Diceros bicornis minor: one gene and its partners. The protein of the gene in region 2 binds, or shares a complex with, the protein of the main gene of each other region. Links are inferred from orthologs where the notes say so. Each region holds a gene or a part of one and is shown on either strand. Other genes may lie near its edges. The genes, in order: CTDP1, GTF2F1, ERCC3 and POLR2L.

The links.
Region 1: the proteins of GTF2F1 (region 2) and CTDP1 are in contact, whole or in part, in an NMR structure (PDB 1ONV), measured with the Homo sapiens proteins. The link is inferred for Diceros bicornis minor from reciprocal best matches to the Homo sapiens genes GTF2F1 and CTDP1. Residues at the interface, in NP_002087.2 of Homo sapiens: Thr470, Lys471, Leu474, Gln478, Ser486, Thr489, Val490, Leu493, Ala494, Leu497, Lys498, Leu500, Asn501, Pro502, Arg504, Met511, Phe513; in NP_004706.3 of Homo sapiens: Ala946, Asp947, Met949, Ala950, Lys951, Ala952, Leu953, Glu954, Glu956, Leu957, Asp959, Leu960, Met961.
Region 3: GTF2F1 (region 2) and ERCC3 share a complex: the UniProt entries of both Homo sapiens proteins name them as parts of the TBP-based Pol II pre-initiation complex. The link is inferred for Diceros bicornis minor from reciprocal best matches to the Homo sapiens genes GTF2F1 and ERCC3.
Region 4: GTF2F1 (region 2) and POLR2L share a complex: the UniProt entries of both Homo sapiens proteins name them as parts of the TBP-based Pol II pre-initiation complex. The link is inferred for Diceros bicornis minor from reciprocal best matches to the Homo sapiens genes GTF2F1 and POLR2L.

The regions. Positions count from the first base shown.
Region 1 is NC_080755.1:67,832,302-67,840,258, forward strand, and holds the start of CTDP1 (RNA polymerase II subunit A C-terminal domain phosphatase), read left to right. Parts: upstream 1-4,945; 5' UTR 4,946-5,057; coding exon 5,058-5,362; intron 5,363-7,957. UniProt on the Homo sapiens protein: Processively dephosphorylates 'Ser-2' and 'Ser-5' of the heptad repeats YSPTSPS in the C-terminal domain of the largest RNA polymerase II subunit. This promotes the activity of RNA polymerase II.
Region 2 is NW_026691615.1:1,989,658-1,997,091, forward strand, and holds the start of GTF2F1 (general transcription factor IIF subunit 1), read left to right. Parts: upstream 1-4,427; 5' UTR 4,428-4,783; coding exon 4,784-4,795; intron 4,796-4,876; coding exon 4,877-4,923; intron 4,924-5,508; coding exon 5,509-5,581; intron 5,582-7,434. Other genes in the region: adenylate kinase isoenzyme 1-like, read right to left, coding at 1,802-1,915, 2,531-3,088. UniProt on the Homo sapiens protein: TFIIF is a general transcription initiation factor that binds to RNA polymerase II and helps to recruit it to the initiation complex in collaboration with TFIIB. It promotes transcription elongation.
Region 3 is NC_080749.1:5,633,424-5,640,956, forward strand, and holds the start of ERCC3 (general transcription and DNA repair factor IIH helicase subunit XPB), read left to right. Parts: upstream 1-4,530; 5' UTR 4,531-4,596; coding exon 4,597-4,624; intron 4,625-4,967; coding exon 4,968-5,173; intron 5,174-6,184; coding exon 6,185-6,421; intron 6,422-7,533. UniProt on the Homo sapiens protein: ATP-dependent 3'-5' DNA helicase/translocase. Binds dsDNA rather than ssDNA, unzipping it in a translocase rather than classical helicase activity. Component of the general transcription and DNA repair factor IIH (TFIIH) core complex.
Region 4 is NC_080770.1:1,179,207-1,185,904, forward strand, and holds POLR2L (DNA-directed RNA polymerases I, II, and III subunit RPABC5), read left to right. Parts: upstream 1-4,574; 5' UTR 4,575-4,628; coding exon 4,629-4,723; intron 4,724-5,910; coding exon 5,911-6,019; 3' UTR 6,020-6,184; downstream 6,185-6,698. UniProt on the Homo sapiens protein: DNA-dependent RNA polymerase catalyzes the transcription of DNA into RNA using the four ribonucleoside triphosphates as substrates.

The DNA of each region.
Region 1 (7,957 bases), on a different chromosome or scaffold from region 2:
TCGGATCTCTGCCTCACACCATACACAAAACATCCATTTCTCATTATTTACAGACTTAGCTGTGAAAGACAAACTTCTACAAAGCCCAGGTTAGGGAAGGCATTCCTAAAATTGAGAACTTCTATTTATCAAAAGATCTCATAAAGAAAATGAAAAAGACAAGCCAAAAATGGGTAGACGATGTGGGTAACAGATAATAAAGGCTCTGTATTCAGAAACCATAAGGAACTGCCACAAATCCATAAGACAAAAGCCCAACAGAAAAATGAGTGACGAGCATGAACAGGGATTTCACAGAAAACACAAGGCAAATAAAAAATAGGAAAAGATACTAAGCCAAAATGCCTATTAGGAGAATTCAAAGTAAAACCACAACTTTTAATTTTAACACAGATTTCCACCTAGATTGGCAGAGATTAAGGAGTCTGATAATACCAAATTGTTGAGGATGTGGTGGGAGTATAAACTGAGACAACCATCTTCAAAACTAATTTGGTGTTCATTATCTCATAGATCTGAACATGTGAACATCCTACGACCCACGGTTGCACACTCAGGTCTACACCCTCAGGCATTAACTCCTGTGCCCCAGGAAACACGCAGGATGCTCACTGCAGCACTTCCCATAACACCACAAAGTGAAAACAATTCCAGTCTCCATCTACAAGAAAATGGACAAATACATCCTGCTACATTCATGCAACAGGCTATTACACAAGAGTCACAATAAATAAACTATAATCAAATAAAATAATAAGAACTTGGATACATAGTGATGAACAAAAAAAGCCATTCACAGATAAGAAACATACATACGATGCATTTTTATAAACGTGGAAAACAGGCGTAACTAAACGATAGCTTTGTGTGTACATAGACACACACACAGCAAAACCCCATATAGAATAATGGCAACCAGGAGACTGAAGCTGGCGGCCACGCTGGTGGGGAACTGAGAGGACAAGATGGGATGGTGAGGTAGTTATAACAACACTGGTAATGTTCTAAACTGTAGGTGGGCTGACGGGTTCATTCTAGGATCACAGTCTTTGGTATGTACACAGTTTACGTAGTTTTTAAAGTGGGGAGAGAAGAACACAGGGAGAGAGAGATCCGAGTAAAGCTATGAGACGTGACCACCGGGCAGAGATGTAACTGTAATCCTCACCCATGTCTTTCCCCCATCACTTCTGTTTCACAGAAACATTGCCCCTACTCCCTCAAGGACCAGCTTGCTCTTCACGTATTCCTGGCCCAGCCTGGACCTTCCAACACAGCCCCTCCCTACTGGAAAAGTCAGCCCTTGGTCTCACCTGAACGCTCCACAGTGGTTGACCCACTGACCACTCCCTGCTCGCTGCTCCTCCCCCTTCTCTGCCTATGACATTACTGTAGCCACCTCCCCACAAGAGAAGCTCCCCTCACTTAATGTCATGTACACTGTCCCCCCAGAACCCCCAGGAACCTGCTCACTGGCCCTGCTCTCCCACCAATGGCTGACTTGACTACATGCCCAGGCAACTCAGACATAACAGATTCCAAGGGGACTCATCTCTTCCCAATGTGTCCTGTCTCCCTTTTCACTAACCCATCCAACAAGTAATAAAACCCACTGGTTAACTCAGAAACTCTCCCTGCGACCCTCTCATCTACTGAGATAATCCCAGAACTGGGACATCTACTTCTGGGCTCTCTCTGCCCTTAGCTGCTAGCTTTGACTTAAGCACAGATTGGGTAAGCACATATGTCAGCTCAAAAATTTTTAATGACTACCCGCTGCCTACCAGGGTGGTTCTCAAACCTTGATACACATTAGAAGAACCCAGTGAGCAAAACTCCTGATGCTCCAGCCCCACCCAACACCAATTAAATTAGAATGAGGGATGGAACCGTGGTATCAGTAATTTTTCAAACATCCTAGGCCTGTTCCTCACATTTTTTCCACAAAGGACTCTATTAAGAGAACGCCCAGAACCTCAATCATGATGGATGGTCCTTATGCCTAGAATGCCCATCTCCTCTTCTCCTCATGCCAAGACCCCATCCACTTCTTCTTCCAGGTAGGATGACGTAGGTAGAAACCAGCTATGGCTCCTGCTGCAATAACTTGGGAAAAATAGATAAATGCAAATATCAAGACATCAGATAGGTCTGGAAAGTAACAGGACTGAAAGAAGATTCTAGAGGAAAGAACCATTCCTAGACAAACTTCTTTCTCTCAGTGGCCCTTTCCTTCTCTAAGGCATTTGATGAGTCTGAGCAGTCTGACCTTGAGCTTGACAAAGACGGGGAGACTGGACTAACATGAAGATAACTCCTCTGCTTGGGCTTGCGCGACAGACTGGAAACAGATGAGCCCCAGACACCCGGTGGCTTCCTCACAGGACATTTGCTTACTACTAGGGACACATGCAGGATTGGGGGTATCGCTGGGTTGGCAAAATGGTGTGAAATCTCCTGCAGTTGGAAGTGATTCAATTCCCACTAACAGGAAGGGCCCACAACAGCACACAGGAAGGCTCACTTCTGAGACATCTGAAACCAGGAGTGGACTGAGTCATACCTAAGACTTGAACACAGCCCTGCCCCTAATCAATTCTTGATGGAATGGAGGTGATTGGCCCTTCACCCTGTATGCCTACAGAAGAAAGGCTCAGGCATCCTGTTCCTACGCTTCTTCGGTACAGCGTCTGGCACACTAGTAAAAACAATCCCAACAGCTGCATCCCGTGTTTCTCTAGAAGTCCTGGGGAGAGCACCGGGCCTCATGGGCTAGTGCTGAAGGGAGCGAGCAGAACCAAGGAGTGAGTCCTGAGGATCTCACTGGGCAGCAGCTGGGAGGAGCCAAGAAGGCTCTCTGGAGCATTGCAGATCCGCCTCTTGAGGCTTCTAGACTGTTTGGGGTGACTTTAAGGAGGCGAGGAGCTGGAAAACTTGCAATAGCCAGTGAGCCTGAAAAAATTTGTTCTTTGTGACAGCTAGAGTGACCTGGGCGTGGTGAGAGGGACTGAGCTCCTTTTGTCAGCAAAAGGATTCAGGCAACAGAAAAAAACAAAACGCCAGCACCGCAAACAGGTCAAGATAAGGCCTATACAGCTAATGCGTGGCCTTCTGGCGTCCATTAGGATTGTGAAACACCAACCGCCCCCACGGCAACAATGTGAAAACTGTGTTGCTACTTCCTAGGGAGCAGGGTCCAAGTCACACTACTAGAAGATACATGCTTTCACTCAACAGCGCCAGACTGTGTTAACCCCAGAAAATGATGCTCCTTTGAGTGAGGGTACTTGCTTCCCGGACAACCAGAGGAAAAACCAGCGACAACTCTGTCTTGCTGGGCAGTGTGGCTTCCTTCAACACCCAGCGAGCCTGGACCTGGGCTTTGAAAAAAGCTTCTAGAGAAGGCTGTATGGAGGCTCAGAGGCGGGAGTAAGAAAGCGCTGACGAAGAAAATCCTCTTCGAAGGGTCCGGAGTCCACGAGGCCCCCATAACACCGAGATGAAATCATTTCTGTTTACCTGGTGTAGGTCTACTCCTATTTTCTACTTCCTCTTGAGTCAATTTCCGTATTTTGTCTTTCTAGGAGTTGTTCCCTTCACCGGTTACCTGATTTGTTGGCACACGGTCGCTCATGACGCCCTCGCGCTCCTTTCCACTCCTCTAAGGCCGGTAGTACTACTTCTCCGTCTTGCTATCCTGACTTTAGTCATCTGACGTCCCCTCTTCCTCCATCTAGCTCACGGTTTGTCAAACTTGCTCACGTTTTCAAAGCAGCACCTGCCGGCCTGCAGATTTGCTGTTTTCCGTCGCATCCACTCCTGCCGTGATCGTGACTCCTGCCTCTGCGCCGGGTCGTCCGCCGTTCCTTCCGACGCCGCAGGTCGCCGCGGACGCGCTCCTCGGGGCCCGCACCCGCGCGGCGCAGGCCGGGCGCGCCCGTCTCCCTCCCCCCACGGGCGCTCGCTCGCTCCTCGGCGACCGCGAGCCCTCCTCATCCCGAGCGCCGTCCGAGTGCCGCAAACCGGGATCCGGCGGCTCGCTTCCCGTTTCGCTGACCCGCCCCTCTCCCGCTCCGCGGGAACGGTCACCGGCAGCACACGGCCCGCCCGGAGAAGGCGCGCACACGGAGAGACGGGCGCCCCGGGCCCCCGCGCGTCCTCACTGACCCGCCCCTGAGAGCGCCGCCGTCGAAGCGCCACCCCCCCCCCCCGCCCGGCCGTTTCTCCGCGGCCTCCGGGCTCTGCCGTCGGGGCTCCGTCAGGATGCGCCTGCGCGTGAGGCTCCACAGGGGCCGCCCCGAAGGTGACCTTGAGGGCCCCGGGCGGCCCCGAGGGCACCTCTCCCCTGCGGGCCAAGGCGGGAGGCCGCCCCACGGGGGCACGTCGGCAAGGCGGCGAGGAGGAGGCCAGCGTCGGGGACCCCGAGACACTCGACCGCCGGGGCACATGAGCGACCCGGCGCCCTCCGCCCTCTGACCCTGGACGGCGCGCCGCATGCCGGGACCGCAGCTCCACGACGCCCGCGTTGTATGCCGGGACCAGCCGTCTAACGACACCGAATCTCAGCGCCTGACGAAGCCGTGGGACGGCGGCCCGCATTGCATGCCGGGCCTCGTAGTTCTCACGTCGCCGGGCCTGAGCTCGTGACGGGCGGGGCTGTGGGTCGGCGGCCCGGGTTGCATGCCGGGACCCGTAGTCCCAGGACGCCAGCGACCCTAGGGCAGATGGGGCGTGTGGTGACACTGTTCCTGCCGGGCCCACCCCGCACGGTGGTCCTAGGACGCTTCCGGTACTCGGGCCGGCGCAGCGCCTCTCGCGCCCGCGTGGGCGTGTGTTTACCCGCAGGCCCCTCGGCGTACGCGCACGTACGCGGCGTCACGTGACATCGCACGCCGTCCCGGAAGTCGGCGCGGGCCAGGGCGGCGGGTGGAAGCCGGTGCCGGAGCGGGAATCGCAGCGCCGCCGCCGCCGCTTGGGCCGGGTCGCCCGCCCGCGATGGGCGTCGGGCCCTGAACGCCCGCCCGCCGCCGCGTTTCCTCAGCGACCCGCCGGCCGCGATGGAGGCGCCGCTCGCCGGCCGCCTTCCCGCCGAGGGCGCCGCGCCGGCCGCCGTGGCTGAGGTGCGCTGCCCGGGCCCCGGGCCGCTGCGCCTGCTCGAGTGGAGGGTGGCGGCGGGCGCGGCCGTGCGCCTCGGCTCCGTGCTGGCAGTGTGCGAGGCCGCCGCGTCCGCGCAGCCCGCTGGGCCCGCCCCTGCCCGCGCCGGCGCCGGGGGTTGCGTGCGCGCCGAGCGCCGGTTGAGGTCGGAGCGCGCCGGCGTGGTGCGGGAGCTGTGCGCGCAGCCCGGCCAAGTGGTGGCCCCCGGGTGAGTGGGGCCCGGGGGAGGGGAAGGGAGGGGATGCCGGACCAGGAGAGGGGATGGGGCCGGGGTCTGGAGGGGGTTTCGGGCCAGGAGAGGGGAAGGGAGGGGGCCGGGGTCTGGAGGGGGTCTTGGTCCCGGCACTGGGCGGGAAAGGGTTCCCAGGACTGCAGCTGAAGGGGCTGTGCTCACTGTGCGTTTGCGGGTGTTTCTGAGGCTGGACGACAGTCACTGCTTGTGATTTTATCAAATGCAGGTGTTTGCCTTTAAAAGAATTCTTGAGCCGCCGAAGTTGCACTCTAGGAAACAGTGCGGTCGTTCCTCTTTTTCTGTAGTAGGTGCCTCCCTGTCTCTGAGATGCCGCGTTTGTAAGTTAAGAAAACTCGGGCAGCTCCACGCTTCTCGCGGTGTAAACTGGGGGGGGGGGAGTGCGTTTCTTTAGGTTTGAGTAAATCTTGTGAAGCGCGGTTGTGAAACCTGGCGCAGTTTTGCATCAGAGCTCGGGAAGGGGGTGCAGTCTCCCGCGAGTGGTTCAGGGCGACAGAATAGAAGCACACGCTCCCACCGTAGGGTCTAGCTCTCTGTACGTGCGTTTTAACCTCATAAAGGGCCTTTTTTCTTTTTTTGCAGTGTGTGAATCCGATAGTCTACCTGTCTGAATTTACCGGTGTTGTGCTCTGAGATTTGATTGATGTGTGGGCACAGGTGTGTGCCCGTGGCATGACTGTGGTTGTCATTGTCAGGAGCAGAAAGCCAGGGTAGGTGAGCGTTCCTGCGTGTAGTGATTGGTGCGCAGCTTTCCTCTGCGGAGCCACAGGGTGTCCTGGGTGTTCAGGCCCTTTCTGCCCACGTTGGCCCTCCTCTGGCGCACGGTGCCACTTGCTCTGGTCTTGGCTCCTCTCCCTGTGGCCTGCACTGATCCTCTGGCTGTTGAGCATCTGCCGCCTGCCCTCCACCCCCCAAGAAGCTGATGACCAGGATAGGATGGGAAAGGACTGGTCTTTATCTCAGCCCCAGAATCCTCATCCTGTGTTCCCTTTTCCTAGGTCATTGTTTGGAGACAGAGTCTGGGTCCTCAGCCTTCAGCTCAGGCACCCACGCCTACCCACGGAATGCAGGTGGGGTGGAAGGGGAGCTGCCTCGTGGCACCCTCCACCGGAGCCCCCTGCCTGGCTTCTCGGAAGACAGGGGCTCACTGTGCCGTACATGTGACACTCTGGTATGCTGCTGTTGTTATCTTGGAGTCAGATCTTACCTGACCATCGCTTGCGCCCTAATGAGCCCATAAACCCGTCAGTCCGTAAATTATGGAGGTGAAGCCCAATGCTGTGTGTCGCTGTGTAGAAAACCCTGAAGTGAAAAGCTCTTCTCCGTGTTGTTCTGTTTCTCTGGTGTAGAAGGCTACCAAGGCCCAGACAGGGCAGTGACAGGTCACAGCTGGTGAGAAACACCACATGCATGCTTTGACCCCATCAGCTGGTCTGGCCAATCGCAGGAGCCCAATGCATTGATCTCACCAATCAGCCAGTTCCCAGCTGTGAATAGTCTTTTTCTTTTTGTGTGTTTGGTGTTGAGATCCTGGGGTGTCTCACTGCGGTGGTCTGTCATGGGTTCCTTGAGAGCCTGTTGAGTGGCAGCGTTTCTCCTGGGATGCAGGTGTGAGTGAGTATGAGGAAGGCACCAGCACAGAGCCAGGCTTACCTGGCTGGAGCTGTTGTTGCCATCGTCATCGCTGTCATCAGCAGGATTCATCCTGACCGCATCGGGTTATTCTCTGGCAATGAACAGTTCTAGGAGCTTAGAAATGTTGCATCTGGGTGTAGTGGACATGATCACCCCATTACCGTTGCGACCTGTGGTAAGATTGTATGTGTTTGTAGTGCTTCATGCCATCAGGTAGAGGTAGGAACTATCCTTACTCCACAGACTGAGGAGGGGACTGAGGTCCCAGAGGTTTTGATGTGTGCAGCACCTTACCTTGCTGAGGCCTGCCTCGTTTTCTCCTCCGTGTTGCCCTCTCCTTAGGCCATTCTTCATCCGGAGAGTCTCAGTGGGGGCAAGTAGATAGAATGACGATTTATGTTTTTGTAATATTTGTGTGGGTTAAAATTATCTTGATTTGAAAATATCGTGACAGGGTACCATTTGTCAGAAACCAACTCTGTTAGTTATTAGTTTACCTAATGATGTCCGTCCTTGTTTGCTCTTTTGTCTGTCGTCATTGACTGGGAGATGCTGAAGTCCCCAAAAAAAAGGAAGATACGTAAAATAATCAGGGAATGAGTTACCATCGAGATGGGTAAGGAGGAGGCTGTGGGAGCGTCTTTGTTCTCAGTGGGCGTCTGACCAGCTTTGTCTGTGCCCCGTACCTGGTTTGTCTGCAGGAAGAAAGTCTGCCTCAGCCAGTCTGGGGTGAGCGCCGCCGGAGAGCAGGAAGGAGGATTGCTGGATAACGTGAAGGCCCAGCCGTCGCAGTATTGCTGTCTCCCTTGCTCTGTAGACTGAAGAATAAGGAAAACAACCTGCGATTAGTACCCGGTTTTAGGGTTCTAAAATTAGGTAGTGACGGTTTTTATTAAATTCTAAACACAGTTCAGTCAG
Region 2 (7,434 bases):
CTGACGCACTGCTTGGCAAGCCATGCTGTGGCGGCGTCCCATATAAAGTGGAGGAAGATGGGCACAGATGTTAGCCCAGGGCCAGTCTTCCTCAGCAAAAAAAAAGAGGAGGATTGGCGGATGTTAGCACAGGGCTGATCTCCTCACAGAAAAAAATAAAATAAAATAAAGAAAACCCACTCTCGTAACACAGAGCCCCATTTTCTTTCATGTTCTCACTCTGGCAGCCACACGGGTACGAGGGGAAAGCATGCGTTCTGTTCCTCTTAGCATGAAACCACAATGCAAGCAAGATCCTAAATGGTGGAGGATGCTGGGCCTCTGTGAGGGAGGAACTGGGCGTAGGGGGACCACGGTGAGGCAGAGGGGGTATACCCCCTCCACAGTGGAACGGTGGCATGGTTAAAATTGGGGGCTCACAGCCTGACCGCCCGGGCCTAAGTCCTGCCTCCACCTCCTAAACTGTGTGACTCTGGGCAAGCTCCCCAACCCCTCTTTGAAAAAGCGGGGTGCTAACAGTGCGAGACACGTGCTTCTGGAATGTTCCGGAAGATCAGAGTTCATCCGTGCCATGTGTCGAGAACAGCACTGGGCTCGGTAAAAAGCTCGGGATGAGTTCACGCTGCTGTTGCCATGGGGACGTGCAGGCCCCGTGCTGCCAAGTCAGGCAGTTTTCAAGAGAAGCTGAGAGTTTTATGTGGCATCTCCCGATTTTTGAAGGTTGGCCACTAACTTTAAAAAAAAAAGTGTTCAACGCTGCAGAGCGCCTACCTTAGGCCAGGCGCTGGCCCAGGGCGGACGAGGACTAGAAAAATCCACGAGCCCGGCCTTTGCCCTGGGAGGTCCCAGACCAGGAGAGGGAGCCCGTTATCTTCATCACAATGAGCTGGACAGAATGGCTTCAATGGAAGTGGGGACAACGGGCAGGGCCCCACCCACCCATGGGGCCCCAGCCCCGGTGACCTTTGTCTGACTCCCTCAATGCACCTGGACTTCCCTGAAGGCACTTCCCCTCCAATCCAGCCATTTCCAGAAAAGCCCGGAGGCCTGCAGACTGCCAGTTTCTCTCTTCCTGCTCAGCCATGTCCAGACACTCCAGTCATGGCTGTTCGGGTGCCCGGACCGGCCTTTTCCTAAAGTCAGCGTGGCTGACGTGTAACAATAACCTGAAGAAATTCACTCTGACTTGCCCAGCGCCGGCTGGCTCCTCCTTCATCGCTCAGTTGGCCGATGTCCCCGCTTCAAGGGGGCCGCATGGACCATCCAAACTGAAACAGCCCACTCGCGTCCCCCCAGGACGGCATTCTGTCTTCCGTTCTTCCCTGCGCTAACCGCTGCCAGAAATTTCTGTTTTGTTTTGCACATCACGTATTGCTCGGTGCCTGTCTATTGGCATCCTAAGACCAGGGCCTGAGTCTGTCTCATGAACTCTCAAGGACATAGTCTGTTCTCAAGGACTATTTGGGGACAGGTGGTTGAATAAATAGATGATTGAATAACTATATTCCATCTTTATGGACCAGAAATGATGCTAAATCCACCTGCTTCTCAGTGAGCAGTTTATCTACCAGGTGCCAGGAACTGTGCAGGAAGACATTAAAATGACTTTGTCCCTGCCTTCAGCTCACCAGCCACTCACCCCGGGTTCTAGAAGCTTCCAACAATCTCCTGACTGTCCCTTGATAATAGAAAACTCCATTTCCCTCTTGTCATCTCCTCTCTCCTGAGTCTCACCCCTTCTGATCCCCAGCCACGGTGGGGAGGGAGGAACAGCTTCCTCACACACTTTGGGGTCACTCACAATGCGCTCGAACTCCTTGGCCTGCGTCAGCTCCCGGGGGAAGCCGTCGATGAGGAAGCCCCGGCTCTCCGGGCAGGACAACATGTTGTCGCTGATCAGATCTAGAATGACACCCTGGGAAGGAAAGGGGTGGCCGGATTCAGCACCCGGGGGCCCTCGCCTACGCCGTCACCTCGGCCAGTCCTCTTGCTCAGTCTGGACCTCAGGTGAGTTAGGGGAAACACAAGCCCTGCCTAGCACCCGGGATTCTGAATGTGCTCTGATCCCCAGGGGCCTCCGGAAGCGCTTCTGAGAACTGGGCACAGCGACCGTCTTCTGGGTGGGTGTCCAGCATGTGCCAGGCCTGCTGGTCTCATTTATTCATTACTACCACCTGACAGGTAGGCACTGGGTTGACTTAATTTTACAAGTGAGGAAAGGGGTGCAGAAGGGGAATGATATCTATGTCCAGAGTCACAAAGGGAATAAATACTAGCTAATTTTATTGAGCGCTTCTTAAATGCCAGGCAGTCTGCCAAGTGCTTTATAGGAATGATGTGATCCAACCCTCACCACTACAGACTTTTGCTGTGGGTCCATCTGGTGTCCCATTTGACAGCTGAGGACACCGAGGCTCAGCCCAGCAAAGCAGTGGGCAGGCCAGGAGCCACGGCTCCCACAGGGCCTTCCCAGGAAGTTTGTCCCCACATACCCGGTTCTTGCCTCTGCCCCTGCACCCTGGGCTCTCACCGTGGGCACCAGGAGCCCCCGCAGCATGATGTCACGGATCTTCTGGCCCCGCCGGGTGCCACACTGGGCCTCCTGCCGCAGCAGCTGGCCCAGCCCCACGTGGCAGAAGCCATACTTGGTCGCCATGTTCTTACACTGCGTCCCTTTGCCACAGCCTGGGCCGCCCATCACGAAGACGATCAGGGGAGACTTGAGGATGTCTGCGGAGCCCGGGGAAGAGGGAGAAGGGTTGGTGCCTGTAGGGGCCAGCAGGCGCTGATGTGACTGTGTGCACTGCTCAGTGCGTGTCCTTGGGTGACAGTGGACACAGGTCTGCAGGTATACCCACTTCTGCCCTAAGGTGGCATCCGGGGGTGCACATCCACGCCCAATGGTATATCCAGGCATGTCGTGCATTAGTGCTGCTGCAGGTTGCTGTGGAGAAGGATGTGAACCTGAGCAGGCCGGGCCCTTTGCACACAGCATTTCCTTGAAGCACGGCAGTGACTCTATCACCCCATTTACAGTTGAGAAACTGAGGCTCAGAGGGGGGCGGGGACTTGCCCATTCCCGATTCATCCTATACGACCCTCCCTTTCCTTCACTCCGGTCCAGTCCCAGTGGCCTCCTTTCTGTCTCTTGAACTTGCCCAATTCATCCCTCCCCTGCTGTTCCCTGCACCCAGAAGTGCCTGCCCCAGGGCCTTCAGGCCGCAGCTCACCCATCAGGCCTTTTCTAAGCTCTCTCTAAAGAACCTCCCACCCTATGATTCCCTGTCTCAGAACCCCATTTCCTCTACAGCAACAGCCACGATCAGTATTGATTTGCCTGTTTACTCGTTGTTTGTCTCCCCAGCCAGACCCTATACTCCATGAGGACAAGGACTATTTCTGTCTCGCTTCTCCCTATATTACTAGTAGTTGGCACAGTTCCTGACATAGAGTAGTGGGTGAGGAATAAATGTCCACGGCTATCAGACACGTCTATGGAGTGCCATAGTTTATAGTGCAATTCTGGTGTCTTGCTTCCAGCCCCCTTTGCTTAACCAACTCCTGTACATCCCGCAGGGCCCTGCTTAAACCTCCCCTCTTCCCTGAGCCCTCAGAGCCGGCTGCTCTTTCGCTGTGGCAGTCCTGTTCCCTCCTGGGTTGTAGATACCATTTTCTGAGACTGTCTCCTCCACTACACTGTAACCTCCAAGAGGAGAGGAAGCTGGTTTGATATAGCCACCGCGGAGCGCCCAGAAACTAGCACAGAAGGCGCTCCAGTAGATCAATGAATGGCTGATCCGTGAGCATGCGCAGTTGTGTTACTACCACGGTGGGGACGGGAGGGGGAGCGTGTGCACATCTGGACTTGGGGGATGGGGTACCAGGACCTCCCTCCTGCCCTCCACAGCCTCCTTCTCTTCCCCGCAGTAAGCCAGCCACCCCCGCGATGTTACCCTTCTCCTGGGGCCTCAGGGACCTGCCCATCTGGGGCAGCTTGGACTTGCAAAGACCCATCCCGCCAGCGGCCCGTGGGGTGGTCGCGCCCCATCCCCACCCAGTCCCTGACCTCTCCCGGCTCAGCTCAACGTCACAAGGGCCCCTGGCCCGATCATTTAGTGAGATGATGGGGGCCCCCGGGGCAGGGGGAGGAAATGAACCTCGAAGAGGTTCAGGTGGTGGAGCGGCGGCTCGAAGCAGCAGAGAAGGCCTCAGTTGCTATGGTGACGCGGCCTCTTTGGACTCACTTCCGGAGTGGGGAGGCGCATGCGCACGGCGCCCGAGAGGCCGCGAGGAGGGCCAGTTTCTCCCTCCCGTCCCGGGAGGCCCCGCGGTCCTTGAGTGATGACGTCACGGGGAAGGCGTTCCCACACGTCGCGATTAGATTGACGGCGCTATATATAGAGGTCAGCGACAGAAGGCGCTTCCTGTAGCTCAGAGTCGCCCTGGGCTTACCGTTTTGAAAAGGGACAGGGGGGATACATGACAGTGAGTCGAGGGGTCCACGACCGCGGAGGAGGTTGCCATCGCGACGCGGCCCGCGGGAGAGTTTCGCTTCCGGGTTAGGCGGCGGCGCAGGCGCAGACGCGGCAGGAGCTGACGGCCCACGGGGCTCCGCTTCCGGGTAGATTTTCCCAGGATCGGCGGCTTCTCGGGCTCGGGCTCCTCGATCGCGGCCAGAGAGCCGACACCGCGCGGGCGGCTTCCCCGGGACTGAGGGACGCGGACCCCGGGGGAGGCCAGAAGGACCCGGATCGGGCTGGACCCGAGCCACAGACCGTCGCCCATGGCGGCCCTCGTGAGTACGCGGCGGGGATCGGGGGTCCCGGCGGCGGCCTCTGGGGCCCCGCGCTCACCGTCCCGCCTGCTCTCCCCGCAGGGCCCCGGCAGCCAGAATGTCACCGAGTATGTCGTTCGCGTTCCCAAGTAAGTCCTTGACCACATCTCCCAGTCCCCGCAAAAAAGCGATTAAACCTGCCTGAGCCTTTAGGCGGCCCGGCACCGCCTGCGATCCTCCCTCCGGACCGGCGCGACCTGAGGGCGGGGCTGGGGTGGAGCTGAGGCCTCTCTGGTTTTTGAACGGAATGAAAGAATGAATGAGTAGCTTAATACGCAGTACGATGCAGCCCCGTGGCCTAGCATTTCCTCTGCCAGGAATGCGTTTTCCCCAACAGTGACTGTACTGGGGGGATTCTTGTGGATCCTACAAAACCCAGTTCCAGTATTTTCCTCCTCCTCCAGGAAGCATTCCCTGCCTGCCCTCCCCCCTCCCCAGCTCAGAGGTCCCGATTATCCCCACATATTGCGTGCCCCCGAGTCTTTGTCCTTCCTTCTGCTCTTCTTCTGCATGGGTTTGGGAGAGTAGGATCCAGCTTCCCTGACCGACTGGGAACCTCTGGGGTCTTTTGTGGGTCCCCAGCATTGCCTGGCACAAAAGGCTGAGCCCGGGAGGGTTTGTTGAACGAATGATTGATTGACTGACTAAGCACTACCTCTTCTTGCCCACTCCAGAAACACAACTAAAAAATATAATATCATGGCCTTCAATGCAGCCGATAAAGTCAACTTCGCGACTTGGAACCAGGTAAGTCCCGGTTCTAAGGGCGAGAGAGAACCCAATCCTGGACTTGGTGGTTGTAATAGTTGCTTCGTGGTAATAGTAACTAAGGCTTAGTTTCCTCAGCTCTCCCTTAGTGGAGGTAAAATGATGACTAAGACCCAGGCTGGGCTGCTGGGCATCCCTGGAGTAGGATTTGTCGGGCCCCACAGGAGGCCTTCTCCTCAAAGGAGAACATTTAGAAGTTGTGCCCACTGGGGGGCATTTTTGGCCTAAATTTATCGGGGCAAGAGAGGGGGCTGCATTCTACAGATGGTCTCAGAGGCCCCGTTGTCAGAGGCTCTAGAAAGGACTTTGGAAGCTGTCTTAGTCCGTCCATGCTGCTATAACAGAATACCAGAGCCTGGGTGGCTTGTCAACAACAGAAATTTATTGCTCGCAGTTCTGGAGGCTGGAAGTCCCAGATCAAGGTGCCAGCAGATTTGGTGTCTGGTGAGGGCGTGCTTCTTGGTTCATAGCTGGCGCCTTTTTGCTGTGTCCTCACATGGCAGAAGGGGCAAGGGAGCTCTCTGGGGTCCTCTTATAAGGGCACTAATCCCATTCACAAGGGCTCCGCCCTCAGGACTTAGCACCTCCCAAAGACCCCACCCCCAATACAATTATATTGGGGGTTAGGTTTCAACATGTGCATTTTGGGGCGACACAAACATTCAGTCTATAGCAGAAGCCGGGTTTTAAGCAGGGAAGTCGTAAAGTGATCTGGCTGCCGTGGGGTCGAGGGCACATGAAGGGAGAACAGGGCTGGAGGCGACGGCTCTGGTCCAGGTGAGCGATGATGGGCCTGGAGCTAACGGAGGTTGTCAGAAGTGGTTGGATTCCAGCGTGTTCTGGAAGTGGAGCCAACAGGGTTTGTTGATGGATTGGATGTTGAGGGGTGAGGGCCAGAGCAGAATTCCAGACGATTCCATTTACTGAAATGGAAGAGCCTGGGGACAGTGCAGTTTGGACGGAGTGTTTGAGAATTCAGTGCTAGACATCTTATAGTCAAGCTGCTCGTTAGACCTCAAGGAGGAGACAGTAAGTTGGATACATGAGTTGGGAGACTGGGGTGGAGGATCTGGGTATTTGGGGTGGCATCTAAAGCCACAGAGACTGAACCTGCTTGGCAGAGGAGTTGACCAGAAGTCTGAAGACGGCGGCTTCGGACCCTCCCGCAGTTGAGTGACTCCTAGTGCTCATCTTGTTTGTGAGCACAGTCCTGTCTTTCGACTATTTTAAAACATCGCCTCTTGGGGCCAGCCCTGTGGCCTAGTGGTTAAGTTTGGCAGCCCAGGTTCGGTTCCCAGGCGTGGACCTACACCACTTGTCAGCAGCCATGCTGTGGTGGCAACCCACATACAAAATAGACGAAGGTTGAAACAGATGTTAGCTCAGGGTGAATCTTCCTCTGCAAGAAAAAAAAAATATTGCCTCATCCAGTTGAGCCAGTGAGAGGCGATAGCAACCTGCCAGTGTGGACACGCCAGCTGCACACACGTTCATACACAAACTAACACACTTTTACCCTCTCCCCCAAGCCCTGGCCTGGCCTACGTTGTCCAAAGAGGGTACAGTGTTTCCAAATCCCTGATCACTCAGTGAGGGGACATTCTCCATCACTGATCATCCGAGAGACATAACCCACCCATTGGGGGCACCCTGCCCCCCAACACTCTTCACCAAGAGGAAGAACTTGATAAATACCCTGGGAACATACCAGCCCTTGCCCCTCATCCAGCAGGAGAGCCCCCACCATCCCTGAGGACCCAGGGGAGTATATCCTCCCATCACTCACTGGCCCCTTGGAGGGGCCGTGCCCTGTGTCACCAGTCACCTTGAGG
Region 3 (7,533 bases), on a different chromosome or scaffold from region 2:
AAGTATATAATACAGTATATTAACTGTAATCACCATCCTGTATGTTAGATCCCCAGAACTTAATCATCTGCTAACTGAACATTTTACTCTTTGACCAACATCTCCCCATTCCCCGCCACCCCCTAGCCCCTAGTAACTACCACTCTACTCTATGTTTTCATAAGTCCAGATTTTTTTAGATTTTACATATACATACAGTATTTGTCTTTCTCTGTTTGACCTATTTCACTTAGCATAATGCCCTCAAAGTCCATCCATATTGTCGCAAATGGCAGGATTTCCTTATTTTTCATGGCTGAATAATATTCCATTGTATATATATATACCATATCTTTATCCATTCATTCCTTGACAGACACTTAGGTTGTTTCCATATCTTGACTATAGTGAATAATGCTGCAATAAACATGAGAGTGCAGATATCTTTTCGAGATCCTGTTTTCATTTCCTTTGAATATATATCCACAAGTGGTATTGCTGGATCATACAATAGTTCTATTTTTAATTTTTTGAGGAACCTCCATGCTGTTTTCCATAGTGGCTGTACCAATTTACACTCCCACCAGCAGTGCACCAGGGTCCTCTTTTCTCCACATCCTTGCCAACATTTGCTATCTCTTGTCTTTTTGATGGTAGCCATTCTAACAAATGTGAGGTGATATCTCATTGTGGTTTTCATTTGCATTTCCCTGATGATTTGTGATGTTGTGTCCTTTCATGTACCTGTTGACTATTTGTATGTCTTCTTTGGAAAAATGTCTGTTCAGTTCCTCTGCCCATTTTTATATTGGATTGTTTGTTTTTTTTGTATTGAGTTGTATACCGTCTTTACATAATTTGGATATGAACCCCTTATCAGATATATGGTTTGCAAATATTTTTTCCCATTCCATAGGTTGCCTTTTCATTTTGTTGATTGTTCCTTTTGCTGTACAGAAGCTTTCTAGTTTGTTGTAGTCCCACTTATTTATTTTTGCCTTTGTTGCTTGTGCTTTTGGTGTTATATCTAAAGAATCATTGCCAAAACCAATGTCAAGGAGTTCTTTCTCTGTTTTTTTTTCCTATGAGTTATATAGTTTCAGGTATTATATTTAAGTCTTTAACCCATTTTGAGTTAACTTTTGTGAGTGGTGTTATTTAGGGGTCCAATTTCATTTTCTGCATGTGGTTATCCAGTTTTTCCAACACTATTTATTGAAGAGACTATCCTTTCCCCATTGAATTTTCTTGTCAAATATTAGTTCACAAAATATTTTTTTGTTTTTATTTTCTTATTTTTCCAGATTTATTAAGGAATAATTGACACCTAAAATTATATATATTTAGGTGTACAATGTGATGATTTGATATATGCATACACTGTGAAATAATTACTACAATCAAGTTAATTAACACATCCATCACCTCACATAGCTAATTCATTGTGTGTGCGTGTGTCTGTGTGTGTGTGTGTGGTGCTAACTCTTAAGATCTACTCTCAGCAAATTTCAAGTATACAATACATTATTAACTACAGTCACCACGCTGTACATTAGATCTTTAGAACTTATTCTTCTTATAACAGAAAGTTTTTACCCTTTGACCCATCTACATTTAAAGTAATTATTGATAAATAAGAACTTACTATTGCTTTTTGCTAATTGATTTCACATAGTTTTGTAGTACTTTTGTTCCTTTCTTCCATCTTGCTGTCTCACACAAAATATTTTCTTAATGTTAGATTAGCCATTCTTCCTCATCATCTTCAGTAAAATTAACCAGGTTTGGCAGAAAGAGCTTTAAAAAAAAAGGCCATATGTTTAATCCACTATTTCTATTTCTCAGAATTTGCCTTAAAAAAACAATCCCAGATGCAGTTAAAGACTTATATCCAATGATATTCATCACAGGGCTATGTATAATAGGATAAACTGGAACTATCCCAATGCCCCAAAATTAGGGTTTGACTAAATAAATTATAATACTGCCATACAATGGAAAATTAAGTACTCATTAAACATTCATTTTAATGAGGGGTGGATAAAGCTTATGTTAGAAGGATATAAAATTATATGTTCAAATAACATCTTCATGGTGTAAAAAGAGCAACTCACAGAAAAAAAGCCTGGAAGAAAATAACCCAAAATGTAGATAGCTAGGGATAGTGTTATCCATGATTTAAATAGCCTTTGCTATGCTTTTCTCTGCTTTCCAAGATTTTTACATGGCATGTATTACTTAAATCAGAGGGAAAATATAAAAATGCAAAAACCAGTTTTACAGGTGTGGTTCTGGGGCCAGCCCGGTGGCGCAGCTGTTAGGTGCACGCGCTCCGCTTTGGTGGCTCGGGGTTTGCAGGTTCGGATCCCGGGCGCGCACCGACGCACTGCTTGTGAAGCCATGCTGTGGTGGCGTCCCACATAAAGTGGAGGAAGATGGGCACGGATGTTAGCCCAGGGCCAGCCTTCCTCAGCGTAAAGAGGAGGATTGGCATCGGATGTTAGCTCAGGGCTGATCTTCCTCACAAAAAAAAAAAAAAAAAAGGTGTGGCTCCTCCACTTCTTGAGTAAGTGAAATTCATTTAGGGCAGAGACCAACAAACCTTCAATTTACTGAAGGTCATTAAGCTGAGAAGTGATCTCTACATTGCCAATCCTGTGGCTGGGTCTCAGTCTTCAATTTGCTCAGCTGATCAGCAGCATCTAATATAGCCGATCACTTCCTCCACCTTAAAATGAAATGAAATAAAAGCAGGACTTCCAGGACTCCTGATTTTCCTCTCCCACTGACTGCTCCTCAACTGGTGTTGCCCAGTTCTCCTTCATCTTCCAGCCTCTTCACTGTGAAATGTTCCAGACCTTTGCTTTAACTACATTCATTCCCTAGGTAACCTCAATCAGTTCTATAGCTTCAGTACCACCAATAGGTTGACAATTCCCAAACTTATATTTCTAGGTCCCTGAACTTTAGACTTACATCCAACTGCATTCTTGACACTTCATTTAATTGTCTAATAGGCCACTTCTATGGACTGAATTGCATCCTCCCCAAAATTCATGTTAAAGCTCTAACCCCCGACGTGACTGTATTTGGAGACAGAGCCTGTGAGGTGATAAAGGTTAAATGAGATCATAAGGGTGGAGCCCTAATCTGACAAAGCTGGTGCCCTCATGTGAAGAGGAAGAGACACCAGAGAGCTTGCCTTTCTTTTAACTCCCATGTGAGGACATAGTGAGAAGGCAAGAGGGTGGCCAACTGAAGCCAGGAAGAGAGAAAGATCTTCATCTTGGACTTCCAGCCTCCTGGCTGTGAGAACTGTGAGCTGTGAGAAAATAAATTTCTGTTGTTTAAGTCACACAGTCTGTTACAGCACTCCAGCCAACTAATATAGCCACTCACATTCAAAATGTCCAAAACACCTTTCAATCTGAACCTTCCCTAAGGTACACCATTTTTGCAGTTGCTCAGACCAAAAACCTTGGAGTTCTCCGTTAGTCCTCTCCCTCACTTTCCATATCCAGTCAGTCAGCAAATGCTGCTCTAACTTCAAAATATATTCAGAACGGAATCACCCTTCATCACCTTTATCCCTACCACCCTGGTAAAGCCAACAATTTCTCAACTGGAGGGCAGCATTAGCTGCCCTTGACCTTATAAAGTCTATCTTCAACATAGCAGCCAGTGTAGAGTGATCCTTTAATACTAAATCAGATTGTCACTTCTCTGCTCAAAACTCTCCAGTGGTTTCCCATTTCAAAATAAAATCCAAAGTTTTTGCAATGGCCTACAAAGCTCTACATCAGTGGTTCTCAAACGTAAGCATCAGAATCTTCTGGAGGGCCAGACTGTTGGGCCCACCTGCAGAATTTCATGATTCAATAGGTCTGGGATGGGGCCAGATACTTTGTATTTGCGCCTTTCTAATTAGTTATCACCAGTTTCCATATGATGTTGATGCAGCCAGGGGACCCCATTTGAAGAACCACTACACTACATGTACTGTACTATGTCCTCTCCCCTACGTCTCCCAGCCATACTGCTCCCTCTCAGCCTCCTCTTCGACGACGCCAACCCTGTGTCGGCCTCACACCTGTGCCCGCACTGCTCCTCCCTGGTACTTACATAGGACACTGTCTCACTTTCTTCAGATCTTTTGCTGAAATAACACCACTTCAGAGGTTTTCCGGGACCACTCCATTTAGAATGACACTACCTGTCACTGCGGGCCGTTTTATTTCTCTTTAGAGCTCTTAGCACCGTATTTGTTTACTGCCCACACCTCTCTACTAGAACTTAAGCGCCAGGAGGCCAAGGGCTTGACATTGTTCACTGTCCTACCCCAGCGGCTAAAACAGTGCCTGGACGATCACAACAGGTGCTCAACAAATATTTCATTGACTGACTACAGCAAAGAATGGGGAGAAAGGAGCCTCCGCCAGGGTCACACCACACACGCTGCTCGGCCGCCACGCGCCGTCGCCTGCCCGGCGACCCGGCACCCAGAGGCGGGACTTCCTGTGTGGTTGCCGAAAGAGCTTCCTGTGTGAACCGGAAGTCTCCCTGGGACCTGTAGCCGCGGCGGGCCGGCGGCGGTGGTGGACTGGGGCTGTAGCCGCCATGGGCAAAAGAGACCGGGCGGAGCGCGGTGAGACGCGGCGGGGGCGTGCCTGGGCCTACCTGCACTTGCCGTCTCCGTCGTCCTGTGTCGTAGCTGCCCCGCGCTGCTCGACCCCGCCGCCCCTCGGCCTGCACACCCGTGTCCCGACGGGCCGCTGGGCGGGGGCGAGCTTGGGTCTTTGGGCAGCCCCGCGTCCTGCCGGGTGGGAAGGTTTGAGGGAGAGTCGCCCCGGCTGCAGGTGGACCCCTCTGGGAGTGCGTGGCGCTGGTGGCAGACGGCTGCGGTCAGGTTCCCCCGGAATGCAGCTGGGCGGTGCGGAGGGGACCCTGGGCTTCTCCTGCCCGGCTCACTTCTGTGTCCGCATCTGCAGATAAGAAGAAGTCCAAGAAGCGGCACTATGAGGACGAGGAAGAAGATGAAGACGACGCCCCCGGGAACGACTCTCAGGAGGCGGTGCCCTCGGCGGCCGGGAAGCAGGTAGATGAGTCCGGCACCAAAGTGGATGAGTATGGGGCCAAGGACTACAGGCTGCAGATGCCGCTGAAGGACGACCACAGCTCCAGGCCCCTCTGGGTGGTAAGCATGCTCTCAGCCAGGCAGGGCCCCAGAGTCTGTGGGGCCAAAGTGGAAATGCAGGGTAGTGCTCTTAAGGACTGGCTGGAAGAGAGCTTTCCTACACAGTTTGAACAGCCCGAGATGGGAATAAGCAGGAGGGATGCACACATGGGCCGGCTAGACGTGGGCTTCCTTCATCTCTAACCCCTCCTTTTACTCCCCTTCCCTCGATAGTTCTACTGCATATTTGGAAATACTTTTATCTACCAAATAAATGGCATTTATTATGTAACATTTTAGTTCCTCGTTTTTATTTATTTTTTATTTTTATTTTTTTTGGTGAGGAAGATCAGCCCTGAGCTAACATCCATGCTAATCCTCCTCTTTTTGCTGAGGAAGACCGGCTCTGAGCTAACATCTATTGCCAATCCTCCTCCTTTTTTTTCCCCAAAGCCCCAGTAGATAGTTGTATGTCATAGTTGCACGTCCTTTTAGTTGCTGTATGTGGGACGCGGCCTCAGCATGGCTGAACAAGTGGTGCGTTGGTGCACGCCTGGGATCTGAACCCCGGGCTGCCAATAGCGGAGCGTGTGCGCTTAACCACTAAGCCATGGGGCCAGCCCCAAGTTCCCCATTTTTAAAAATTAATGGGAGACATATATATGTATATATTTGGTAGGCAACTTTTTGCTCAACTTGAAGTCATTAATGTTCTACATTTTATTTGAAGTCTAGCCCAAAGGGAACTTGAGGAGAGCCAGTAAGGTAGGCTTTCCCTGTGAAGAATAGTGGGAAGCAGCTACTGACTTTGAAAACCTTTACTTCTTTTCCTCTCTGTTCTTTGTATCTGATTAAGTAACAGGCCCCCCAGTTGACTGAAGGAGTGCTTACAAAAATATCCCTGGTGTTGAAACACTTAAAGATCACTTTTGGGGCAGCTTATCTCTTCTAGATAATGATAAGAGAAAGAGTCTAATAATCTCTGCAACTCATTAGTTTCCTTGTCTGTTGTGACGGTTTGGTGTTTCTCAGGCTCCTGATGGCCACATCTTCTTAGAAGCCTTCTCTCCAGTTTACAAATATGCTCAAGACTTCCTGGTGGCTATTGCAGAGCCAGTGTGCCGACCAACCCATGTACATGAGTACAAACTAACTGCCTACTCCCTGTATGCAGCTGTCAGCGTTGGGCTGCAGACCAGTGACATCACTGAGTACCTCAGGAAGCTCAGCAAGACGGGAGTACCTGATGGGATTATTCAGTTTATTAAGGCAAGTGGAGGCTGAGGCTGGCTCTTTTGCCCTACTTGTCAATGTGGTAATAGTGGAGACAGGTGCTACATTTTGTTAACCTGTGGCGGTCATGAAAATGCCATTCAGAGCTAGTGTGGGGAGCATAAAAACTGATTACCCTAGCTGCTGCTTCTCTGGATCCAGCATTGTGTTCTTGCTGAGGCCACACTTACCATGAGCTGCTGTTAGCCAGTGGGTACTAACACAGTGGGGGTAGTAATTTAGGCCCATTCTGGCCAGGGTTATTTGGGAATGCAGTGCAAAGTGAATGATGTTATGGACTGAATTGTATCCCCTCCAAAATTCATATTGAAGCCCTAACCCCTAATGTGATTGTATTTGGAGTAAGGAAGTAGTTATGGTTAAGTGAAGTCATGAGAGTAGGGCCCTGATCCGATAGGATTAGTGTCCTTATCAGAGGAGACACCAGAAGACTCATGTGCTCTCTTTCTTTCTTTGCACATGCACAAGAAGAGGTCATGTGAGCACACAGCAAGAAGGTAGCCCTCTGCAAGCCAGGAAGAGAGCCTTCACTAGAAACTGAATCCCTGGCTTCTTGATCGTGGACTTCTAGAAATAAGTTTCTGTTGTTAAACCACCCAATCTGTGGTGTTCTGTATGGTAGCCCAAGCAGACTAATACAGGTGGTAAACTCCATCTAAGGCTGAATACCTGCACCAATGGTCACAATTTCCATTAGGGAAAGTCAAAAAGAACTTCAGATGTTGAAGTGGGTAGGGTTCCATGTGAAGAGCACCTTGAACATGCTTGGGTTTGTTCTGAGAGATACGTGAATGCCATTTAGAAGAGATGGACGGTGGCTTTTGGTGCCCTCTGCTGGTCTAAAGGGAGTTGGATTCAGACCCCTAAATCTGGAGTGGCAGAAGATGAGTGCCATAGGCATCCAGCACAGTAATGTATCCAATCTCAGAGAAGCTGGCAGGAGCCCTGGAGAGAGTTTTCTCTTCTTGTGTGTGGAAGGGTGCCCAGGGAGAAGGGCCTGCACCTCACTGGAATGAGCCTACATCAGCACCCTGGTTGTGCTCAGTCTTGGCTGGGAGCTGCCTACAGGAATGTAGGTGTTGGTGCAG
Region 4 (6,698 bases), on a different chromosome or scaffold from region 2:
CATGCCAGAAGCCAAAAAGCACGCATCACACCCAGCATCACACAGGCCTGAGGCTGGGTCTGCATGCCCTGTTACCCCCAGACCTGGGCATCGGGAGATGGGCCTCCTAGGCAGGCCCTAAAGGGCAGACCACCAGCACCTCTCATGGCCCCCCAACACTCCTGGGTCCTCACATATGAGGAAGACCCATGGCCAACACCAAGCTGAGTGTGGACGAGACCACTGCCTGGCCACACTCCCAGCCCCGAGCGCAAGGCAGCCCCTGGACCCTCTGTGAATGAGCTGCAGCCCTTCTGGCCTCCACAATGCCCCTTCACGAAGGGCCCCGACCCCCATCCTATGCGGCCCAATGCAACACTGCAGTCAGGGCACGGGTGCAGGGGCTGGACAGGCCCAGGGCTGGCTCCCTCCCTCCCCAGGCCCAGCCTCCTCCTCCAGGACACCTCCCTGCCCCACTCAACGCTCTAGGCTTCCTTCGAGAGCAGAGACCAACACGTCGTCGCCCCCCAGAACGGCACACGTAGCAGGGAGCAGGGATGGGGCTGAGCGAGAGCCCCAAGACAAACACCCCCACAGCCTGCCCGCCCTGAGCTGGGCCTCTGGACTCTCCATGGCCCCTGGGTGGGGGCAGGTGGGGGGCCCCGAGGGACCGTGAGCCACACCTACCTGGCTAGACCAAGGTCCCATTCAAATAGAAACCTCCCCAAAAGCTGAAAGAGCGCTTGCCCACGCGGACTTGGAGGACTTGGAGGCCTGGAGCTGATGGGTGGCTGCCAGTGGCATGACCCACCCAGAGCCTCAGCCGCGAGCAGCAGCAGGGGCCTGGCCCAGGAGCACACATACAGTGGGGGCAGCTCAGGGTGGAGAGCAGAGCGGAGCCCGCCCACCCCGGGCCCCCAGGCCGAGCCGGCTCTGAGGCGGCTTTGAGGAGCCAGGGCCCCGCCAACACAAACAGGCCTGTGGTGTCCGCCTTCCTGCTGCCTGCCAGGCCCCAATGCCCACCCAGGCCCCGACCCTGGGGGAAAGGCAGGCTGGTACCCCCTCCACACACAGAGCCTGGGCAGGGCCCTCTCCCCACACCCAATCCACAGCCTCCCGGGCTGGGAGACACTCGCTCCAGTGGAGGGGTCCCTAGGGGAGGGGTCCCCGTGAGAGACGCCACCCAGAGGCCCCCAGTCTCTCCTCCTGGGCCCACCGAGGCCAACCCCAAGCTCAAAGCCTTGCCTCCTCACCCCCCTCTCATCCTCCCACCCTCAGGTATTTCTCTGCTAGAGGCCACGTGGAGGAGGGGGTGGAGGAGACACAATTAGGACCTGGGAGTGGGGGGAGCCTTCCCACCCACCACAGGCCCTGGGAGCACCCTGCCTCAGGTGCCCAGTGTGTGCCCACCTACCTTGCACAGACGTGCCCACCCGGCCCCGTGCCACAGAGATCCCTATAGAGCAGTACCCTCAGGGATGTCCGGAGGGTCAGTAGGTTAGGGCCATTTTGGCCTCAAGCACATCTGCAAATGCCACCACTCACGACTCCACATTCCCCAGAGCCCAGAGCGTTAAGTACTGGTGTGGCAGGCAGTGACCTCGCCCGACCCTGGGGAGGCGTCTGAGCCTGTATGCTCACCCCACCCGACCCCGCACGCCCCCTGTGTGAGCCCACATCTACCAAGCAAGCAGGGCCAGGGGCCGAGCCTGGGACCGCACGCCTGCACAGCCAGGATTGGGACCCTCCCGCTGGGCAGCTTCTGGTTCCACCCACACTTTACAGACCAGGAAACTGAGGCTGTGACCTAGGACCAGGGGGCAGGGTGAGCCCTCTCCCAGGCTGGGTCACCCCTGTGGCCAGCCTGTTTCCAGGGCAACCCTCAGGGCTGGAGGGTCTCAGCAGCTCAAACTCCAATCGCTGATTTCCCCTTGTCCGGTCTGCCCTGAAGTGACCCCCTCCGGCAGGAAATGAGGCTCAGGGGTTCCAAACCACACATTAGCATGGCCCTCCTTCCTCGAGCCCCCACCACCGGGGCGGGACAGTCCACTCTCAGAAACCGCGCCCCGCTCTCCCGTCCCCATCTCCGGCCCTCCCCAGAGGCCTAGGCTCCACACACACCCAGGGGAGAAGCTAGGGCCCCCACCTACCCTTGCAGCAGACACGGCCCCACCCCCAGCCCACCACCTCCTGCCCCTGCCCACCCTGAAGAGAGCCCGGCCCACACCCCAGCCTGCTCCTCCCAGAGCGTGTGCACACACACACACACAGACATACGACCACCCAGGCCCCGGCAGCAAGGCAGGGCTGACCTCTGAGGCTCCCCCAGGGTCCTCTGGTCCAGCCTGAGCCACAGCAGAGTCAAGACGGGAGGATCAAGGGCCCCAAGGAGCCTCCGTGCACACGGGTGTTGGGAGTACGTGCACAGGCTGGGACAGCGGCAGCCACGCTGCTCCCCATGGCCTCTCCTGGGAACTCAGGGAGCTGGAGGAGGAGCTCAGGAAGAGGAAGCCGGCCACCACCCCCAAATCCACACGCAGCGCTCAGAATTCCAGGAATGTCAACTTGGCTCTGGCCAGCATCAGGGCGGGAGGCTCATTCCCCTCACTCTCTCGGAGTAAACAACTGCTCACGAGTCAGGGCTGGAGCAAGGGTGGGGCAGGCCCTGGGCCCCTCCTCCAGGAAGCCTTCCATCCCCCCCTAGCTCCTGAATGTCCACCCAGCGGACATCCCGGAGCCCCTCCCCTGTCTCCCTCACCTCCACAGCCACCGGTAGCCTCTGCAGCTGAGCCCGAGTCCGACTCCAGGCCACTGTGACTCAAGGCCCCCGTCTTGCTCCTCTGGTCGGGGACAGGATGTGCGTCCAGTCAGCCTGGGGGAGGGCAGGGAAGGGAAGTGGCCTCAGCTCGTGGCTCTGCACGTGGCAGGGTGGGGGATGGCAAACGCCACTGGGGAAGCTGTCCAGAGCCCAGGTGAAGGTGGGGACACAAATTCCAGGCAGGCAGCAGCTCTGGCCAGCCCCACCCAGGACCCAGAGGACCCTCCATCTCCCTGCTCCCCAACTGAGGCCAGAGTCCATCATCCACCCTGAGAGGGCAGTTAGCTGATGCCTGGGACCCAACGCTGGCCCCATCCCAATCAGAGATCCAGACACCCCAGGCCAGTGAACATGCCCAGAGCCTGCACACGCAAGTAAGTCATAGGCGCCACTTTGTAACACATCCACCCCCTACTGCCCAAAGCTCACCTCCTCCAGGGAGGTTTCCCTGCCTCTCACTACACACTGCCCTCCCTGCAGACCCCAGCCCCGGGATCACCCGCTCAACCCACCCCATTTTCAGAGACACAGCCTCCCATCCCTTTAAATCCTCCATGGTTCCTGCCCCATGACCTCGAGCTCCACCACCTCCTCTGCCCTAGTGCAAACCTGTCTCCTTGAGCTGCTCTGCAGGTACAGCCTCCAGGTCTCTGCCCGAGGGTTCCCTTTGCCCGGATCTGTCCTGCTCTCTCACACACTCAGGCTCGCCCCTGGGGAAATCCTGTGTTCTTCAAGGTTCAGCTCAGGGGTACTTCTTCGAACACACTCTCCCTGACCACCTTCCCTAGCCTCTGCTCCCCTCGGGGTCCTCAGAAGTCCGATGCCCTCAGATCGCGGGCGATCCAGCGCAGCCTGGCCTGGGACAGGTGCAGACTCATCCCACACCCCCTCCCAGCCCCTTCCCTGGGAAGAAGAGAGGAGCCGCCGGCCCAGCCCGGCACCGGCCCGATTGCTCCCAGCGCGCCCTCAGCCGTCGGGGCTGCAGGTAACTACCCGGCTGGGACCGATACTATGCGGGGGAGTAGGCTGGGCGGTGCCCCGAGGGGCCAGGCCGCGGCTGGGAATGGGATCCCCAAATCAGCTGCAGAGACCCCCCAGGCACTCGCAGGAAGAGGCTGCAAGCAGGAAGACCCTCGTCCGGGCCGGGCGGGAGGGGCAGCGGGAAGACCTGCCCGTGGTCGCCCGCTCCCACCGGCCTCGCTGGCCGGTCAGCCCCTTTCCGCCCCGCAGCGCGTCTCCGCGACCCCGGCCCCGGCCCCGCCACTTGTTGCTGCGGCTCGGCTCGGGGCTCCGCGCTGGGGCACGAACTCCGCGCCGGCTCGGCTCTGGGCCCGCTCCTGGTCCTGGGCCCGGTCCCGGTCCCGGTCCCGGTCCCGGTCCCGCTGCGGCGGCAGGACCCCGGCCACATCTTCCAGACCAGCGCAGTACCTGAGCGCGCCGTCTGCCCGCCGCGCAGCTGTCAGTCATGCGGACACGAGAAACGCGAACCGCCGACGACAACCCTTTAAGGCCCCGCGCGGCCGCCGTAGGCCGGGACGTACTAAAGCAGCGGACGGGGTGGTGCCTCCTGTTCCTGCCGCTGCCGCGCGGGGCCCGTGACCTCCGACCCGCGCGGAGGGAACTCGTGGCGGCGGGAGACGGACGCCGGCGGCGCCAGGGGCGGGCAGGGCTGGCTGGCGGCGGCCGGGGACTGGGCGGTCACCCCCCGCTCTATAGGCGCGCCCGGGGCGGGGCGGTCACCGCCTGCTCTATAAGTGCGCCCGCGGCGGGCCCGGCGCCACACGCAGAAGCGTCGCCGGGCGGTACGGTTGTGCTCTTCTGTTCCACAGCCATGATCATCCCTGTGCGCTGTTTTACGTGCGGCAAGATCGTCGGCAACAAGTGGGAGGCCTACCTGGGGCTGCTGCAGGCCGAGTACACCGAGGGGTGAGGCGCGGGCCGGCGCGGGAGGGGAGGCTGCCGGACCGTCGGCCTGCGGGCTGCGGACGGGGTAGCGGGGTCCGGGCCTGCAGGACGGGGTCGGGGTGGGGGGTCCCGGCCTGCGGAACGGGAATAGGGGTAGGGAGTCCCGGCCTGCGGGACGGGGATAGGGGTGGGGGATCCCGGCCTGTGGGAAAGGGACGGGGGTGGGGGGTCCCAGGCTGCGAGCGGGGAGTTGGGAGGGTCCCGGCGTGCGAGGTGGGCAGAGGCACTCATCAGATGCCAGGTGATGCTGCAGTTCCGAGGTACCTTCCAGCCTGACCTTCCCTCAGGACAGCGTTGCCTCCCACTGCCCGCCAGCTTGGGGAGAGGTGGGGTGTTGGGCATCAAGCAACTGGTGTCTTGGGGACACCTAGGTATGCTGGCGGGTTACCGTGCCTCTCTACCACAGTTAAAACTCTCAGCCTCCTCTCCCTGTGCTTGCTTCCTAATCTTGTTTCTTTGTCATTAGGTCCACATCTGTACCCGGCAAACCCACTTTCCTTTTAGGACGGAGGATAAGCTTTGTGACCACACAGCCGTCCTCATCAGGCTGTTGTGGGTCCCTTTTCTGTGCTTGCCCTTTAGCACTACAGTTACCACCATGCCTATTCTAGTCTCTCTTCCCTACTAGAGGCTAAACTTTGGGCCCTGTGTGGACAGCCCTGTGTCCTAATCAAATTTGAACCCCTGGGGCTTGGGGCATGCCAGCACGCCATAGGCTCTCAGTGCAAGTATGTTGGATGAACGGGGAAGCCATAGGTGGGCTGAGTGTTAGCGCCAAGCCCTGATGAGGCTGCTAGTGACGAGAGTGCTAGGGAATGGCTGGCAGCCTGCATGAGACCCCTTCCCTGGGATGCCATGGGCAGGGACCTCCCAGCCTGGCCTCCTCTTTCCCAAACTACTATCTCTGCTCGTTGGAGGCAATGATGTGGAAATATTCAGGCCTTGAGGGTGACTGGGGCTGGGTCGCAGGGAAATTGAGAGCTCTAATTGGCTCAGGAAATGAGAGAGGGGGCTCCCTGGAGTGGAGTGGGGCTGAGGAAAGATCCCACAGCAGCTGAGTGGGACTGAGTATGGCCTGTGCACGGCCCTCTGTCTGCCAGGGACTGCCAGGACAAACTGACCACAGCCCGTTCTCTCCTTGCCGGCAGGGACGCCCTGGATGCTCTGGGCCTGAAGCGCTACTGCTGCCGCCGCATGCTGCTGGCCCATGTGGACCTGATCGAGAAGCTGCTCAATTATGCGCCCCTGGAGAAGTGACTGCGCTGGAGTCTGCCCGCCCGCCTGCCGTGCTGACCACTTGCCCAGGGTTCATTCCACCCAGGGGTGGGCAACCAGGAGCAATGCCTGCCCCCAGCTGTGTGGGCGTGCGTCTCCCACTCTGGAAGGAATCATCCAGTAAAGGTCTTGGCAGAACCACAAGGAGGTTCTAACAGTTGGCCTGGTTTTGTGGGACTTCCCACCGCCTGCATTTCTGTGTCCTGTCTCATGCCTGAGGCCCCTTGGGGGTGAATGCAGCCCTCACTGCCCAGGAGGCGGGAGAGCCATCCAAATGGCAGCTGCTCCTCAGCCTGGAGGGTCTCCCTCTGGGGTGTGTGCTGTCACAGCCCAACAAAGCCACAGACAACCAGGAACCCTGGGGGTAGGGGAGATGCCGGGGGGACACTGGCATCCCCATGCCCAGGTTCTGAGCCCCCTTTAGGCAGAGCACAGAGGTCCCCACATCCTCTCTCCCAGGATCTCAAGAACCAGATTTTCTGGGCCCTGAATAGAGTGCCCACTGTGGTCATGGCTGTCCATCCTGAGGGTCCTGCTGCCAGAAGCTTCCAGGTTCCCCCCAAGCCCAGCAGGCCCCTCCCCTTGGCCAAGTTCCTGCCGAGGGCGAGGAGCAGGGCCTGGCCTCCAACAACCAGCCCTGAGACCCCCACAGCAGGTCGGG